Mus musculus: one gene and its partner. Each later gene encodes a partner of the first gene's protein in a complex. Links are inferred from orthologs where the notes say so. Each region holds a gene or a part of one and is shown on either strand. Other genes may lie near its edges. The genes, in order: Tada3 and Taf6l.

What was found.
Region 2: Tada3 (region 1) and Taf6l share a complex: the UniProt entries of both Homo sapiens proteins name them as parts of the STAGA transcription coactivator-HAT complex. The link is inferred for Mus musculus from reciprocal best matches to the Homo sapiens genes TADA3 and TAF6L.

What each region holds. Positions count from the first base shown.
Region 1 is NC_000072.6:113,374,861-113,379,444, forward strand, and holds the start of Tada3 (transcriptional adapter 3), read right to left. Parts: upstream 2,979-4,584; 5' UTR 2,456-2,978; intron 2,086-2,455; 5' UTR 2,038-2,085; coding exon 2,032-2,037; intron 1,205-2,031; coding exon 980-1,204; intron 400-979; coding exon 149-399; intron 25-148; coding exon 1-24. Other genes in the region: Arpc4 (actin-related protein 2/3 complex subunit 4), read left to right, coding at 3,346-3,348. UniProt on the Homo sapiens protein: Functions as a component of the PCAF complex. The PCAF complex is capable of efficiently acetylating histones in a nucleosomal context. The PCAF complex could be considered as the human version of the yeast SAGA complex.
Region 2 is NC_000085.6:8,776,076-8,779,884, forward strand, and holds part of Taf6l (TAF6-like RNA polymerase II p300/CBP-associated factor-associated factor 65 kDa subunit 6L), read right to left. Parts: intron 2,851-3,809; coding exon 2,776-2,850; intron 2,659-2,775; coding exon 2,438-2,658; intron 2,145-2,437; coding exon 2,012-2,144; intron 888-2,011; exon of another isoform or gene 1-887. UniProt on the Homo sapiens protein: Functions as a component of the PCAF complex. The PCAF complex is capable of efficiently acetylating histones in a nucleosomal context. The PCAF complex could be considered as the human version of the yeast SAGA complex.

The DNA of each region.
Region 1 (4,584 bases):
TAGGGCTCCACAGAGGCCCAGAACCTACAGGCAGAAGCAGACCCGGAGTGGGTGAGATGCTCCTTCAGCCTTAGCCCCGGGCCTTCCAAGCCTCCACCACAAGTCTCTGGGCCCCTCCAGCTCCCTGCTACGTGCTCAGGCCCAGAACCTGTTGGGAGCATCATTCTTGGGGATCCGAGGCACGTCGATTGGGTCATCAGTAAATTCATATTCCTGGATCTTGGGTTGGACGTTTTTGGATTTGGGTCGTCCCGGGCCAGGGCCTGGCCCATGTCCTGTCTTCCCTTCCAGTTTCTGCTTCTTGGGCTTTCCGTGTTTGGGGGGAGCACCGAGCTCGTGGTCGCGACCTAGCTTCAGGAATCGTCGGTCCCCTTTCTTATCCTGCCAGTCAGTAAGGATCTGAAACACACAAAGACAACCCCTGAGACGGAGAGAAGAGACAGGGCACTTCTTTCCCCGCCATGGATAACTGAGATCTAGAATTTGAGGTTATTAAGCAAACTACTCATATTTCAAAATGCCTGTTCTTCTCTGTGATTTTCTCACATGAATTTAACCGGAGGTCTACATTCTGATTCACTTCTGCTGCCGCCCAAGCTAGTCACAAACGGTTTGGCATGGTAGTCCTGGGGAAATCTGCTGCTGCTGGGTTTTTTGGTGGTGGTGAACAAGACTCCCAGCTAACCTTTATGTCACACTCCAAGGCACCCGGTGGTTCTGTCTATGCAACTGACTGTATCACAGTGCATCTCAGAAAGTTCCCAGGCAACTTCAGGGGCCACACGTGGGCGGTGTCCACCTACAGTCGGATAGCATCCTTGGCTAACGGTAAGCTGAACTGAGAGCTAACTATTCTGTCATGATTCCCATGTGGGTCTCTCTTCCCATCCATCCCTGGGCCTCAGCAGAGAGGGAACCTAAGGATCCATCCCATAACTTGACACAATGTCTCTAGTGGATGCCCCCCATGGACAATCACCTGGGTTTCAGCTTCCAGTACACGCAGTCTCCGGCTTGCAGAGGACAGCAGAGTCTCAAGCTCCAGCTGCAGGGTGTCCAGCTCCTCAATGCCAATGCCATCGTCCTCGGAGCGGGCCAGCACTGCCGTGTAGCGGGGACAGACCTTCAGGTGGTCCACAGACTTGAAGTCATGAAACTGCAGTGGACAGTCCTTCAGCTCGCTCATGGCCCAGGAGGTGGGACCCTGTAAAATTAGAGGGGAGAAGGCCATTGGATAGGAGACAAAGTAGCATGGGGAGAGAGACCCAACAGAGCCCTGACTGTACCCCAAGCTAGGTTGACTTCACTGAATTATGCACATAACCTTAAAAGGGGGGCCTTTTGCCATGCTTTTCATTCATTCATTCATTCATTCATTCATTCAACATAATTTCTCTGTATAACAACTCTGGCTGGCCTGGAATGAACTCTATAGACCAGGCTGGCCTTCAATTCAGAGATCACCTGCCTCTACTGGGATTAAAGGCGTGTGCCACCACTGCCTGGTTTCTTTCTTTTGACAAAGAAAGGAAAAAGACTCCAGAAGAGTATGTACACATGCCTAGACTCCTAACTGCAATTTATTGTCTTTTTTTGTTTTGGTAGCACTGAAGGGTCTCACACATCTCCAGACCCTACCTCACCCCCATTTTGGGGTGGGGGAGACAAAAATCTCATTATGTAGTCTTGAGTGGCCTGATACTCATTTGCTACATAGATCAGGATTCATAGAGCTCCCCCTCCCGACCCCCACCCCAGAAAGCACCTGCCTCTGAGTGCTGGGATAAAGATATGCACTCAGGTTGGTCTCAAACTAGCTATGTAGCCAAGGTTTTGTCTCCACCTCCCAAGAGATGGAATTTTAGGCATGTACCACACCTGATTTATACAAGCGCTTGTTCATTCTAGGCACAAATTCTCCAAACTTAATTATGTTACAGTTACATCCAGCCCCCCCCCCCTTTCATGAATTCCAGGCCTTGAACTTATGATCCACCTGCTTTAGCCTCCCAAGTCACTAGGTGTACAAACCTGCATGATTAGGCCGGCCTCCTAGTTGCAATTTGAACCGCAGAAGTCTGGAATCTGCAGCATTAAGGAAGAGGAGATACTAGTGTGCCCTGTCTTCCTATGTCCTCTGTTTCCCTACGTTGGGTCGTTTCTAGCATTCTATTTGACAGGGTTCTCCCTGCCTCCTCTTGTCTCACTCCATTCCACCTCTGCACCTTCTCTGTGTCCCTGGCTAGTTTGGAACACAGGCTGGTCAGGTGAACAGAACTAAGTTCCAGCCCATTTTCTTATGTGCGTTTCTAAACATGTTATTTAACCTGAATCTCCGGTTTTTGTTTGTTTGTTTGTTTGTTTTTCTTTTTTCCAGGACAAAAGATGATGCCTCAGTCTATTTCCCCATTAAGAAGTATAAATCTGTAAAATGGGGGCATCGAGAATTACCTACCTCCCTGGAATGTTCTGAGGATTAAGAGGTGATGCTCGTCAAGTGCCCAGTTCAGTGCCTGGCACAGAAGTGGGACTGCTTAATGGCTGGCTCCACCTGTGTGTCGCCCCAAGATCCCGCCTCCAGGGTCCTCGTCCTCTAGGGAGCCCCTAACACAACCCCCGCCTCTCCTACCTCCTCTCTGCGGCCTCCTACAGGCCCTGGGCCGCAGGAGGGGGCGGGGAGTTCAGGGCGATCGGAGCAACTGCTCCGGAACTGGCTATGGGCGGGCCCCCTGCAGTTGACGCGAGGGCGGGGACGGCCAGCCCAAGGTGGCCTGTAGGGCCGGGGTGGGGGTGGGGGTCTAAGGCCACCTACGAATCTCCGGGAGGTGGAATGCTAGGCCTGAGGAGTCCCGGGCTAGGAAGCAGCCCGGGGCTGGGGTGGGGCCCAGAGCCCAAATCTCAAGGGACTGGCTACCCGGCCGAACCCTACGGTTGCAAATGGGAGGAGCCCGGAGAGGATAGGGGAGCACCACCGGAAGAAACGTTTCTCCGGTTCGGCCTGTCCTAATTTGGTGCCCAACCTGAGGTCGGGCTGTACTATTGTCACACGGGGGGAGGCTACAACCAAAGCGACAAGCACTAAAGGCGCTGGCGGAATATGTGTAGCGATCCAAGGGGACTCGACCGCTACTGTCTCATAGCAGGTCTTCTACAAGTCCCAGAGGTCCCAGTGTGAAATCGCCCCGGAGATCTGAATATCTCTCGGCTCTCCCTCCCCGGTCCTACCCGAGATGGTCCAGCCCGGAAGTGCTGTCGGAGACTGCGGCTGCGCCTCTCTCGAAAGGGCAGGCGTCGCGGGTCCGGGCACTTCCGCACTTCCGCTTTCCGGCCCAGACAGCGCCCGCGATGGTGAGAGACCAGGGGTTGGGGTCCTCCCTGTGTTTTGCCTGTAGAGGCTGTGGGTCTGGGGGAGATGCTGCTTGCCGCTAGGGCTTGCGGCCCGAGGTTGCCCCGGGATGAGGAGGCACGGGGAGGATGGAGAGGCAAAGGGTGGGGCGAGGGCCGAGGCGAGGAGGAAGGGGCGAGCCAGGAGGCTCTCTGAGCAAGAGCAGGCCCGGAAGCTTCCAGGTTGGGAATCCCGGGCTAGAATGACCTCTCCCCGATGTTCGGAGGGGGCAGGAGACCGGGCTGCGAAGCCCGTGGTGGTGGCTTGCAGCTGAGGTAGGACCGCTCTGCGGGGCCTCCTCTCCGTCCACGGTAGAGGTTGGCTAAGTACAACCCCCTGTCCCTGCCTGCCTTCGCGGTCTCACGGGACCTCGAGGCAAGTGTCCACTTCATCTTCTTACTTCTTGGCGCTTCCTGGAAGCCTTGCCTTCCAGCTCCCAATGAAGGTTCTGTGTTGCTTGCCTGCATTCAGACTCCTTCCTAGATGTGCAGAACCGTGTTGACCTTAACGTGTGTAAATGTTGATGGCCGCTGGTCCTCCTCTTTCATGCTCGGGTTTGGGATCTGTGGGTGCTCCGTGCAGTTGTTCTCCGAAAGGTCCCAGGCTTCCCACTACTTTCTCTGGTCAGCCCTTGACGACCTGAGTTCTAAAGGCTGGACTGCTTGTTGCACGCCCGGGAATGCTCTCAGGGAAGAGACTTTGAAATTAGACCCTCTTTTTCAAAAGTCACTTTTTAAAGCTTGCTCCAGTGTTAGTCCTAACTGGTTTCATTCCTTAGCGTGAAAGCCATTTCCTGCTGACTGAGTTTTGACTTTGCGTTTTTAAGCATTCAAGTTTATTGTACAATTTCTTCAAGCCACTAAAGGGTAACTATCACAGGGCTGGTCATCTAAAATTTAGTTTTCTTTCAATGAACCTTGACAAAATAATCAGGTAGCCACAATCGAGGTAGAGAAAAGAATATTCTATCACTTTCCCAACGGTACTTGTCACCGCACACAACTAATTTTGCCTTTCCGGTTTTGCCTCTTCTTGGTTGACATAAGAGAATGCTGTGGTATGGAGCTAGAACCCACTGCTGAACTACATGACAGCTGTTTTTTAGCCTTTATCCCCTCTGTCTGATGTTTGTCTGTCCGTGATCCTGTGCTTGTCTCCGCTGCCCCACGCAGCCTGTGCCTCTTCTCTGCCACAAGTCT
Region 2 (3,809 bases), on another chromosome or scaffold:
TCACTCATCCAGAGCATAAACATTTGACAATGCTGACCAAACTCCTGGGGAAAATGCTGAAAGAAATAGGGATTATATTTTATGGAAGACATCAGAACATCCTGCTAGAATTTATAGATATTACTATACACTCAGAAAAGCTATCTTAGCAGCAGCCATCCTCCAGATGATTGTTCCAGAGTCAATACATGCCGGGCTTCCTCCAAGCTATGAGACAATCAAAAAAGGTGACTGAACTCGGGGAACTCCTCAACAACTCAGCTGTTGTGAGGACCACTGTGATCAACACACCCAGTTCTGTGTCTGACCATGTGGTCTGGTCCCTGTTCAATGCACTCTTCAATGCTGCTGCCTGGGCTTCATTGCCTATGCCTACTCTGTGAAGTCCAGGGACAGGAAGATGGTGGGCGAGATGACTGGAGACCAGGCCAAGTGCCTGAATCTTCAGCATCCTTATGGTTATTATCATTATTATCATTATTTCCTCTACCACCTCTGTGGCAGTCTTTCATTTTTACAAAGAATGCCACATTCTAGATTCTAGCTGCCCTGTGTTCCACTATCCACATCTGGCCCTCCCCTTAGGCTGAGGCCTTGACCCTTTACCCTATGCATGCAAATGTTACCTTCACAGATCAGTTCACAGCAGATTCAATAAAGTACACTTGGTGGAAAAAAGCAAAGCAAAGCTATCTTAACAGTAAATGAGGTAGACTTTGAGAATGAGGTAGCCTGTAACTCTAGCATTCAGGAGCTTGAGTCCAAGTTTGAGGCCAGCCTGGGCTTCACTTTTAAGTCCCTGTTTTTGTTTTTGTTTTTAAAAAACCAAGCATGGTGGCTCAAGCCTTTAATCCCAACAATGAAGGGTAGGGAGTTAGGGGCTAAGGAAAGTTTCTCTGTGTAACCCTGGCTATCCTGGAATTCACTCTGTAGGATAGGACAGCCTCAAAACTCAGAGATCTGCCTGCTTCTGCTGGGATTAAGGTCGTAAGGCAAAACACTTTTGGTTTGGTTTTTTGGGGGGGGCGGGGGGGGGATGATTTTGGTTTGTCTCTTTTATTTCTAGATGCTTTTTCTCACTCCTTCTTTAAAACCTCTCCCCACCTTATGGCTGACTATCCCTCGCCTGTTTAGCTCAAATGGCATGGCTTTTTTTCTTCTTTCCTTCAACTTCCACCTCTGAGCAGCTTCTTAGATTTATAGCTTGCCAGCCCTAAGATGTTTTCTTTTAAACTCTACTAAAATTGTCCCTGAGCTTAAAACACACACACATACCAACTATATTTCTGCATACCAACAAGGAGCAACCCTAAAAAGACTATAGCACTATAGCAGCGTCACTGCAGAAATAAAGTGTGTTGGTTCTCCTTAGAACAATATGAAAGCACCCTAAAGAGTGTGAGCATTTTTTTAAAAAAATGGAAACATGACATAGTCAAGATCACTTGATATGTCCCTAAAACCTTTTCATATATATATATATATATATATATTTTTTTTTTTTTTTTTCTTCAAAATGAAACAAATAGAATTAGTCCAAGTTTCAAAGAGTGGCTCAGTGGACATAGTCATATTAACAGAATTAAGACACATAATCATCTGATGATCTCTATGGATGCTAAGTTACTATTTGCTATAAAATACACAACAGAAACTGATGCTGTGTGGTGCATAAAGCAAGAGGATCACAAACTGATGAAGGCCGGTAAGGGTTATATAACAAGCACTGCCTCAAATAAATGAAAACCCAAAGAGAAAAGGAGAGGAACGAAGAAACTGAGGGTATTTCCTAACATAGTGTTATGAAATGGGCAGGGATTTTAAAAAAGAAAATGTTCTGAAGGGAAAACATTTACACATAGTCAAGGAAGGTATACAATAAACAGGGCCTAAAGCAAGGTCTCAACATGGCAGAATCAAACACACACCACTTTTACAATAAAATACACGTGAATGATAGCTTTGTAACACAGCCACTCTCAAAGGTCTGAGAGAAAGCCAGAGTCCTCACCTTCCAGCCTAGAGCATGCAGCCCCACCACTGCCCCATAGTGAGAACAGAGAGGCCGAACAGGGTCTGTCAGGACCTTCTGCAGGGACAGCAGAATCTGCTGATACAGGCCACTTACAAGGTCTCCATGCGTCCTGTGGAAGCAACAGTCAGGAAGGAGAATGAAGTACCACACATAAAGAGTTGGACATTTGTAGACATCTCTGAGACAGGCTGCCAGATGTGACTGGCCCAGGATCCAAGGGACAAAAGACTAATATCTTGCTATCTTTATAACTGTACCATGACATGTCAGCTAGGGGGCTAAGGAAAAGTTCCACATGTAACATTTAATTTAAAAGCCAAAGGCTTCCTACAGCTCCCTACCACAACCCAATCAACTCTGTAGGCTATCCCACCCTCTGCTCAGCCTGAACCCAGTGGCTACCAGAATATGTGACTGAGTAGAAGGGCAGCCCCATCTCGCAGAGTCCAGTGGTCATTCAAAGGGTTGATGGAGGCGGCCAGTGGCTCCAAGACACAGTAAAGCACGCTGCCCACCAAGGATCGGACATAGGGTCCCAAGCACAGGTGTGGGTTCCGTATCAGGCTCCTTGCCACCTGCAGTAGTCGGTGCAGTTGTTCCAGGTCGTGGCTTACAGATTTTACCTGTTGGTAGGAGAGGATGGCTTGTGGTGGCATGGAGAGACAGGAGCTTGCGAAGAATCTGCTATGAGCCCTAAACAGAGAAGGGTCATAGAGATCGCTAGAGAACTGATCACTTACCCCACTGACCACATAAACAAAGTAAGGCAGGAGTGCTGCAATCTTGGAGTTTGTCTGGAGGTCCTGGAGGGCAACCTGAAAGGAACCACCTCAATAAAGGAAAAGCCACCATTCTGGAGGCTAGGTTAGGATCCACGTATTATCATGTTAAATGTTCATGCCCTGATTCAGAAATTCCGCTGAGCTGGGCATGATGGCACATGCCTTTAATCCCAGCACTTGGGAGGCAGAGGCAGGTGAATTTCTGAGTTCGAGGCCAGCCTGGTCTCCAGAGTGAGTTCCAGGGCAGCCAGGGTAACTCACAGAGAAACCCTGTCTCGAACTATCGCCCCCCAACCCCCCCACCCCAAAAAAAAGGGTATCGTGAGATGGCTTAGTGGTTAATAGCACTAACTGCTCTTCCGAAGGTCCTGGGTTCAAATCCTAGCAACCACATGGTGGCTCACAATCGTCCATAATGAGATCTGACACCCTTTTCTGGTGTGTCTGAAGACAGCTACAGTGTACTTACATTTAACAATATATAAACCTTTAAAAACAAAACAAAATAAAAACAGAAATTCCACTGTTTTTAACCTTAAGAAACTGAGACACAGGGCTGGTGAGATGGCTCAGTGGGTAAGAGCACCCGACTGCTCTCCTGAAGGTCCAGAGTTCAAATCCCAGCAACCACATGGTGGCTTACAACCATCCGTAACAAGATCTGACTTGTGTGTGTCTGAAGACAGCTACAGTGTACTTACATATAATAATAAATAAATCTTTAAAAAAAAAAAAAAAAAAAAAAGAAACTGAGACACAGACAAAAACAGTACTGTCTATTTAAAAGAAAAAGCAGCCACAGGGCTAGGTGTGGCACAGGAGGCAGGTGGAGGGCCAGTCTAAAGCCAACGTGACCCTCTTTTCAAACGAGGAAGGTGGACACAATGAGATTGTTCAATTTGGTAAAAGCACCTGTGGCACACAGCCATCAACCTAAGTTCAAATCTCAGAAACCATGAGTAAGTAGAAGAGAGCTAACAAGTTTCCAGAAG